Bombyx mori: one gene and its partner. The protein of the gene in region 1 purifies or fractionates together with the protein of each later gene. This does not show direct contact. Links are inferred from orthologs where the notes say so. Each region holds a gene or a part of one and is shown in the gene's direction. Other genes may lie near its edges.

Evidence for each region. Proteins that work in one complex are often made in the same cells at the same time.
Region 2: the proteins of myotrophin (region 1) and F-actin capping protein beta subunit purify together in Homo sapiens (co-immunoprecipitation; 3 studies listed by BioGRID and IntAct, with this or other methods). This does not show direct contact. The link is inferred for Bombyx mori from reciprocal best matches to the Homo sapiens genes MTPN and CAPZB.

The regions. Positions count from the first base shown.
Region 1 is NC_085109.1:7,219,899-7,223,658, forward strand, and holds the start of myotrophin, read left to right. Parts: upstream 1-1,553; 5' UTR 1,554-1,687; coding exon 1,688-1,756; intron 1,757-2,025; coding exon 2,026-2,136; intron 2,137-2,227; coding exon 2,228-2,311; intron 2,312-2,345; exon of another isoform or gene 2,346-2,481; coding exon of another isoform or gene 2,482-2,507; intron 2,508-2,513; exon of another isoform or gene 2,514-2,850; coding exon of another isoform or gene 2,851-2,973; intron 2,974-3,329; coding exon of another isoform or gene 3,330-3,403; intron 3,404-3,728; coding exon 3,729-3,760. Other genes in the region: uncharacterized protein LOC119628361, read right to left, coding at 2,851-2,973, 3,330-3,403. UniProt on the Homo sapiens protein: Promotes dimerization of NF-kappa-B subunits and regulates NF-kappa-B transcription factor activity. Plays a role in the regulation of the growth of actin filaments.
Region 2 is NC_085109.1:2,866,658-2,870,417, forward strand, and holds the start of F-actin capping protein beta subunit, read left to right. Parts: upstream 1-1,296; 5' UTR 1,297-1,444; coding exon 1,445-1,447; intron 1,448-1,570; coding exon 1,571-1,955; intron 1,956-2,775; coding exon 2,776-2,975; intron 2,976-3,495; coding exon 3,496-3,607; intron 3,608-3,760. UniProt on the Homo sapiens protein: F-actin-capping proteins bind in a Ca(2+)-independent manner to the fast growing ends of actin filaments (barbed end) thereby blocking the exchange of subunits at these ends.

The DNA.
Region 1 (3,760 bases):
TTGCATTTCCTGTAGAGTTAAAACGGTTTCTCGTGCTGTCCTAGGACTCGCATTATCATGGAGCAGTAATAGCAAAGATCGATTCATGAATCAGGGCTGTTTCACTACAAATTTTGCTATCATTGTTCGGAGTTCAGCACAGTAGACATCTGCCGTTTCGCGAGTCGCGTTTCCAATCCGGTGGTAGATTCTGCGAAGCACTGCTCTTACTAGGGTCAGTGTTAGCAACACTCCCGGTTTGAGCCCCGTGAGCTCACCTAAGCGTCAAGGAGAAGCTGAAATAGCCTCTCAAGGCTATCAGCATAGCTAGGAAAAAGTAAAAGTCCCCTCTTCATACGCAACATTGATATTGCAAGCTGTTTCTGAAGCGTTAGTTCGGCGTCGGAACTCGTATTCAAAAATTTATACTATAACCCCTATTACTGTAGTCCCCGGTCACGAGAAGCTATTTATAAACACACGTTCTGGGGCTCACAACCTGTGGATCAAATAAAAAAAAAATGATTTTTATTTTTGTTATAGATACCTGTAGGTATACCTACAATAAATTTCTTAACATATTAATTATTACTGTCGCCCGACGATTCCGAGTATTCTATTTCTGAATCAGTAACTTAAATAACAAAAGTGTCTATCTATAATTTCATCAATTTTGCCATAAAAGTTGTTTTCTTCCTTGGTGACGTGCCCCACAACGTTTCCATCTTTCAGCAGTAATCTGCTGGCTAGTTTTATATACATATGTCCTTTTTTTCAGGCAGTAGTAGAATTATTTTCAAGACGCTTTGAATGATATGATGCATTTCCATTACCAACTCAAATTTTTCTCCAAGTTTAGGTAGCATCGTTTCAAACTATTGTTCGAAATGCGTAGAGTTCAATGACTCGTGCTTAAAGCTTGTACTTATGACTCGATGTGTTGGATATTTAATCTTATATAATAAGCGCGGTGCTAGAGGTTAAGCTATTTAAGACACTACATTTATTTTATCAATGTAATAGTTGCTTCTGGTTTAAACACATAAAATTTGTAATTTATTGACCATTTAGTATCAATAAAAGAATACAAAACTAAGTTTAAACAAATGAAATCAAATCGGTAGACGTAAATAGCTACGTCGAAATACTTGCTTCGTCCGTATTTGTATAAAAATCCTTAAATAATCAATAAATTTCCATAACTTTACAGAGAGGCTACTGCATTTGGTTGCATCTTAAATCATCATTTATTATTTCGTCTCATGATTTAATTTATTAAATTTCACACTATTTCTATTTTGGGTAAAACTAATTTCTTGTGTGTAGTCTGATACCTTCAGCTTTCAAGTTTAATTGTGTGTAATAATAGTAACAAAATCGCTAGACGTAACTTCTCGGGATTTTCCAAAAAGTCCAGTAATTGTCTCAGTAAATAATCACCATTTTACTGACACTTTATTTCATCTCATTTCATTTAATTTCATTCAAATTAATTAATGTCTCAAATTATTCACCTTCATCAAAAAATACAAAAGATTAGGCTGTATGGTGTGATAGCTTCGGCTTTCCAGTTGGAAAAATGAAATTACTACTATGTCACTAATTTAAAAAAAAATGTCAAAATCTGACAAAAACGCCATTTCTTCCATTGTATTGTATTCGATTTAAAAAAGTGATAAACTTAAAAAGGATTAAAAAGTACATCATCATGAGCGAATTAGTTTGGGGAATCAAAAACGGGGATATAGACCAAGTAAAGGACATTATTGAAAATAAGGTAGGCAGTGTACATCATAATTTTACATTATTCATTATTTGCGTAAACATACGAAACCGCTAGCATTGTATTGTTGGCAAGAGAAAGTATTCTTGCACTCGAGAATGTAATTACAAACAACAAAATGTCCCAAAATTATCCTTGCTTCATTATACTTCTTTGTACTTACCATTGTACGACCATTTTTACAGATTTAGATAATATGCAATTATGATACTAATATCATGCCTTAATAAATGATTTAATGTCGTGCAATAATATTATTTTAGAAAATAGACGTGAATGCTTCTATAGATGGAAGAGTTCCATTACACTATGCAGCAGACTATGGACAAACAACGGTCTTGAACTATTTACTGAACAAAGGGGCTGATCCAAATGTAAGCATAGATTAACCATAAACCAGAATGATTGATTTGTAACATACAAATAACTATTTTACCTGTAGACACTTAATTTGGTAATTGACAGGTTGTTGATAAACATGGAATATCAGTTCTATTAGCTGCAATATGGGAAGGCCACACTGACTGTGTCAAAACATTACTCAAGAATGTAAGTATGTTCGCAGTTTAAATAATACATAGAATTGTGATATTAATAATTTAATAATTAACAATTACAGAGCTTTAAAAATAATTAACCCTTTTACTGCTACATAGATCACTGGCACCCTACATGGGGCAGATAAGCAATTATGTCAATTTCTGTCTTCGATCTTCTTACTAAGCGCTATAATATCTAGTAGACTCTGCGAAAGATAAATCAGAAGAAAATGAGAATGAATCTATTTTTAAAAGACCTAAAAGTTCAATTCATTAAAAACAAAAGAAAGCAAAGTTAGGCAATCGAGGTGCTAAATAATAGAAATCGACATAATTACTTTAATGTGGCCACTGAAGGCACTGGTGACCTACACGACAGTCAAAGGGGTAAATAATATCATGTAATTATAATTAAAAAAAAAAAAATTTAAGGCCATTGTGACATAAAGGTTTAAGATTCCTATTGCATTAGTGTTGAATTGTGACTGTACCATTGTTGGAATCCAGCAGCTGGGTAACAATTTTTCTAATGTGCTGTACACATTCATCTCATTGTCTCATGTGTCGCTTGTTTGCTCTCGTCTCGTAGAAGCTTGACACGAGACCACACCATGTACACACTTGTTGTATCAATTGAACTTCAAATTCTCTTTGGAATGGACCTAGAAGAAACTGATGCAGTTGACGGACAACTAAATGAATGAGCGTGTACAGGCATGCTCTGGTTTTCATCTCAAGACTCCCTGAGACCCTTGGACTAGAGCGTAAAAACTGACACGTTTCCGAGAGCCACGAGCTGAGACAAGGGTGCCATGAACACACTCGTCCTTATTCTGTCTCGTGGTGTCCCGACAAACATGTACAGTTGGCATAATGAATTACATACTCAACATATATTCACAAATGACTTCCATTATTAAGGAATAACATTGTTTAATAAAACAAGCTCACAAATCATCTTGAGTCATTATGATTTGTACTTTGAATTAAGTCATAGTTAACTTAAGGTGAACACCAAGAGGACTCACCTGCTGGATTCCATCATGTTGCCTGATGTGATGGTCATGGAAACTACTTTGCTGAATCCAGAGCCAGTAGTCTTCTAGGGACACAGGCATTATTATCATCAAAGTGAGCACTTTACTGAAAGGGTTTCTGGTTGTGCTACTGAATATGTGCTCTAAATTCACTCAGCAGTTTTTGATCATGGACATATTGTGCAATAAAAAGAAATCTAGAAAACTTTTTAAATTTGTAACAAATGTAGACTGTATAAATAAAAATAATAAGAAGAAAAGTTGGATAAGGCTATAAAGATAGGATAATTGTTATTACAAATGGATGAAGGAAGAAGAGGATCTAAAGCATAAAGAAATTCTCCAAATTCTCTTAAATTAACTAATTACAAATTGTTTGCTTGCTTGCAGGGAGCTTCTAAGAATGGTAAAACCCCAGATGG
Region 2 (3,760 bases), about 4.4 Mb from region 1:
TTTTCAGTGCCGCCCTCGTATACATAAACTATGTATAGACTTTTTGGCGGTAATTCAAGAAGCAAAGTTGTGTGAATTCTTTTACTTTGTTAATGTAGTGTTTATTCAGTCCTAAATGTGTGTTAATGGTTGTTTATTAACTGTTTAATATCTGCAAAAATGCATAAATTGAGAAAATGAACAAGATATCTGGACAAAGTTTCGCAATAAATAACCACTACGTTTTTGAGACTGTTTTTTAATCCCATACCATTTCGTTTGATTTAAGTTCACTCCTATTGATTAATGTTCCAAATTAATCAACTTCATGGTAGTTTCCCAATTACAGAGCATAATACGACTCAGTGGCACACAATGCCGAATTATGCTGAAGCTTAATTGGAACGTGAATTAGTTTTCAAATGCATCAGCAGAGTGCGCTGTTGTTCAGTGTTGAAAAAAAAATATTTACGGAGCTAGCAACCTCATTAATGTATAAATAATGTGGTAAACAATAATAATTGGTTGAAAACTATTTACGGTTATTTTAAGTAATTTGGATTTCGATTATTTCATTAACATTTTTTTTCGTTTTGAGTATTTTTTAAATGAGTTCTAAGAAAATGATGTGTATACTTTTTAATTGAATCATCTTATCCAGATGACAGTGATGACGATAATTTATCGAGTGCTCCGAGTTTAAATCAATCAATTATTTCATTATCAAGTGATATATTTATTGAAAATATTTATGATAATGAAACAGATGAGTTATTTGAGCCATTAATAAAATCTCTGATGACAGGCAGTACTTTTGAGAGTGCTCGATTGTGCGAAGCGTTGCTGTAGTTGGAACATTCAACGTTGAGCATTATGCCGCATAATGCGCTCTAGTGCTGTTATTGGAAAACTATCCATGATACCTAGGGATGAAAGGCTGTTGGTTTAAACGAAATTTTTGCAACCTTACACGAGAGCCATTTTATGTTTAAAATTTGAAAAAAAATATCATAAAGAAACCTCTTCAGCTATTTGAATGTGGTAAACTTAATTGAAGCTCAATTAAAAACATCGATATGTTGATATGATACAAAATAAAATGCACCTTTAATTATAAAGATAAATGTCGCGTATTAATTGAAATGTCGCTTAAACTAAATAGCTACTCACCACCCGATATAGAGCGAAATGAATTACTTTATATTATTTTTATAAAACAGAATATGCAAAAGATTAGGTTAAATGACTTTAAAATGATTAAGTTAATCCCTTCGCCTTTCTAGTGAAAAAAATATAACTACCACTACATATGCAGGTACTTTACTAAACTTCAAGTGTCAAATTACGTCAAGTTATCATTTTCGGGTTGGGACTTTTAAAACTTGTAGTTATTAATTTAATGAAATAATTATACTACTTTGGTTATTTTGTTATTAATTGTTAATCCGAATAATAAAACTTCAATATGGTAAGTTGTCTTTCCAGTTTCAGTGACCTGGCATACATCATAACAAGCTATTTGTTGTGATGACTAATGCAAGGAAATTAAGAAGTATTTATACTAAAATCGTGCATATATATTTTGTTACAGAGTGACCAACAAATGGATTGTGCACTGGACTTGATGCGGAGGCTGCCCCCTCAGCAGATCGAAAAGAATTTAACAGATTTGATAGATCTCGTTCCGAGTATGTGTGACGACCTATTATCATCAGTAGATCAGCCTCTAAAGATTGCTCAGGATCGTAGCAACGGGAAAGACTATTTATTATGCGATTACAATCGCGACGGTGACTCCTATAGGTCTCCTTGGTCGAATACTTACGACCCACCATTAGATGATGGCTCCATGCCCTCTGAACGCTTGAGAAAACTAGAAATAGATGCCAACCTCGCCTTTGATCAATATCGAGAGATGTACTTTGAAGGTGGCGTTAGCTCAGTCTACCTTTGGGATATGGATCATGGCTTTGCAGGTGAGCACTCTTAATTTAGTCTCTGTAAATTAAAGACATGTATTAGAACAGTAAATTCCAGGGTGGCTGTGCATTACAGAAAAGTAATAATAGTATTTTTATTACTTTAGGGGGCAACTAAAGAAGACTAGTAGAACAGAAACTAGCAATTTTTAGTTCTTTTATATTAATCTGTTTGTTTGTTGAAGCACTTCTCTGGAATTTCTGAATGGATTTTCACTTTGCTTTCATATAGACAGATATTAATTTAGAGATCAATAAAGAGTTTCATAAAATTTAATTTTGCTAGAAAGTTATTGTTAATTTTAAATACTTTTATTATTTACTTTTATACTCTTTGATCTTAAAAGTTCTATAACAAATATCATTAACAATATGAAAGTAACTGTCTATATGTTATGTTTTCATCTCTAAACCAGTATGCCAATTTTTACAAAATTCTGTGGAAATAGTTTGAGCTCTAAGAATAAATATAAGCTATCTTTCATTTCACCACTGGGTATGGATCTCTATAAAGTGTAAAAACTACTTTTAAATAAAGAGTAAATAATATTAATTTGGTAATATTTTTATACTTTTAGTTAAATAATCTCTCACATAAAACATTAATCTTCATGTTTAATTGCATCATCTTTTTCATTCATTATTTTCATTGACACTCTATTTTAATTCTTTGAAATGATTAATGAAATATTAGTGTATATAATAGTATTTTATAGTATAAAATACTCATCTATACACTAATATTTCATTATTTAGTCCACCTTTAAATATTTAAAAATAATAATTACAAATACAAAAATAAACAAAACAATTTCAGGAGTAATATTAATCAAGAAAGCTGGAGATGGTTCCCAAAAGATCAAAGGATGCTGGGATTCAATCCACGTAGTGGAGGTGATCGAGAAGAGTTCAGGACGCAATGCTCACTACAAGTTGACCTCGACTGCAATGTTGTGGCTTCAGACTAATAAAGAAAGCAGCGGCACGATGAACCTTGGAGGCAGTTTGACTAGACAGGTAAATTTAGTTTTATTTTATATGCACAAAGCTTAATAATATTGTGCAGGAGTTCTATTTTTATATTTATGCAACAACAACAATGCAATTGCAGCCTCACAATTGCATTCTGGTACTGCATCCCCAAATCTTAATAAAATTATAATGCCATCATCATCACTATCATTCTCTTGCCCTACTCCCAGTGACCTGGGGTCGGCGCAACATGTTTTCTCCTTCCATACTCCTCTATCATAAACTATTTCTTCTTTACTCCCCTCTTACACATAATATCATCTTTCACTCAATCCATCCAATTTTTTTAGGTCTATCTCTCCCTCTAAAGCCTTGCACATTCACAGTTAAAACTCTTAACAATCTCATTGTCATTTCGTCTTATTACATGTCCATATCATTCCAAATACACACTTCTTAACTTCTCTGTCCCATGTGCCTCTTTCAGACTTTCTGTATTCTATCCATTTACTCTAAAATTATAATATCGTATTTTTAATATTATAGATTATCTTTTGAATTTCAGGCAGAACAAGACTCGACAGTAAGTGATGTGACTCCGCACATTGCAAATATTGGGCGCATGGTGGAAGACATGGAAAATAAGATCAGAAACACACTTAACGACATTTATTTTGGTATCAATTTTTCCTTTTAAATTACTTTATATTTAACAGACAAGTTATTGCCACTTTCAAATTTAAAAGACAAGTTATTGCCACTTTCAAATTTAAAATTCATTCTTCGTTGCACTATTTCCCTATTGCACTATTTCTATGTCATTACTTCTC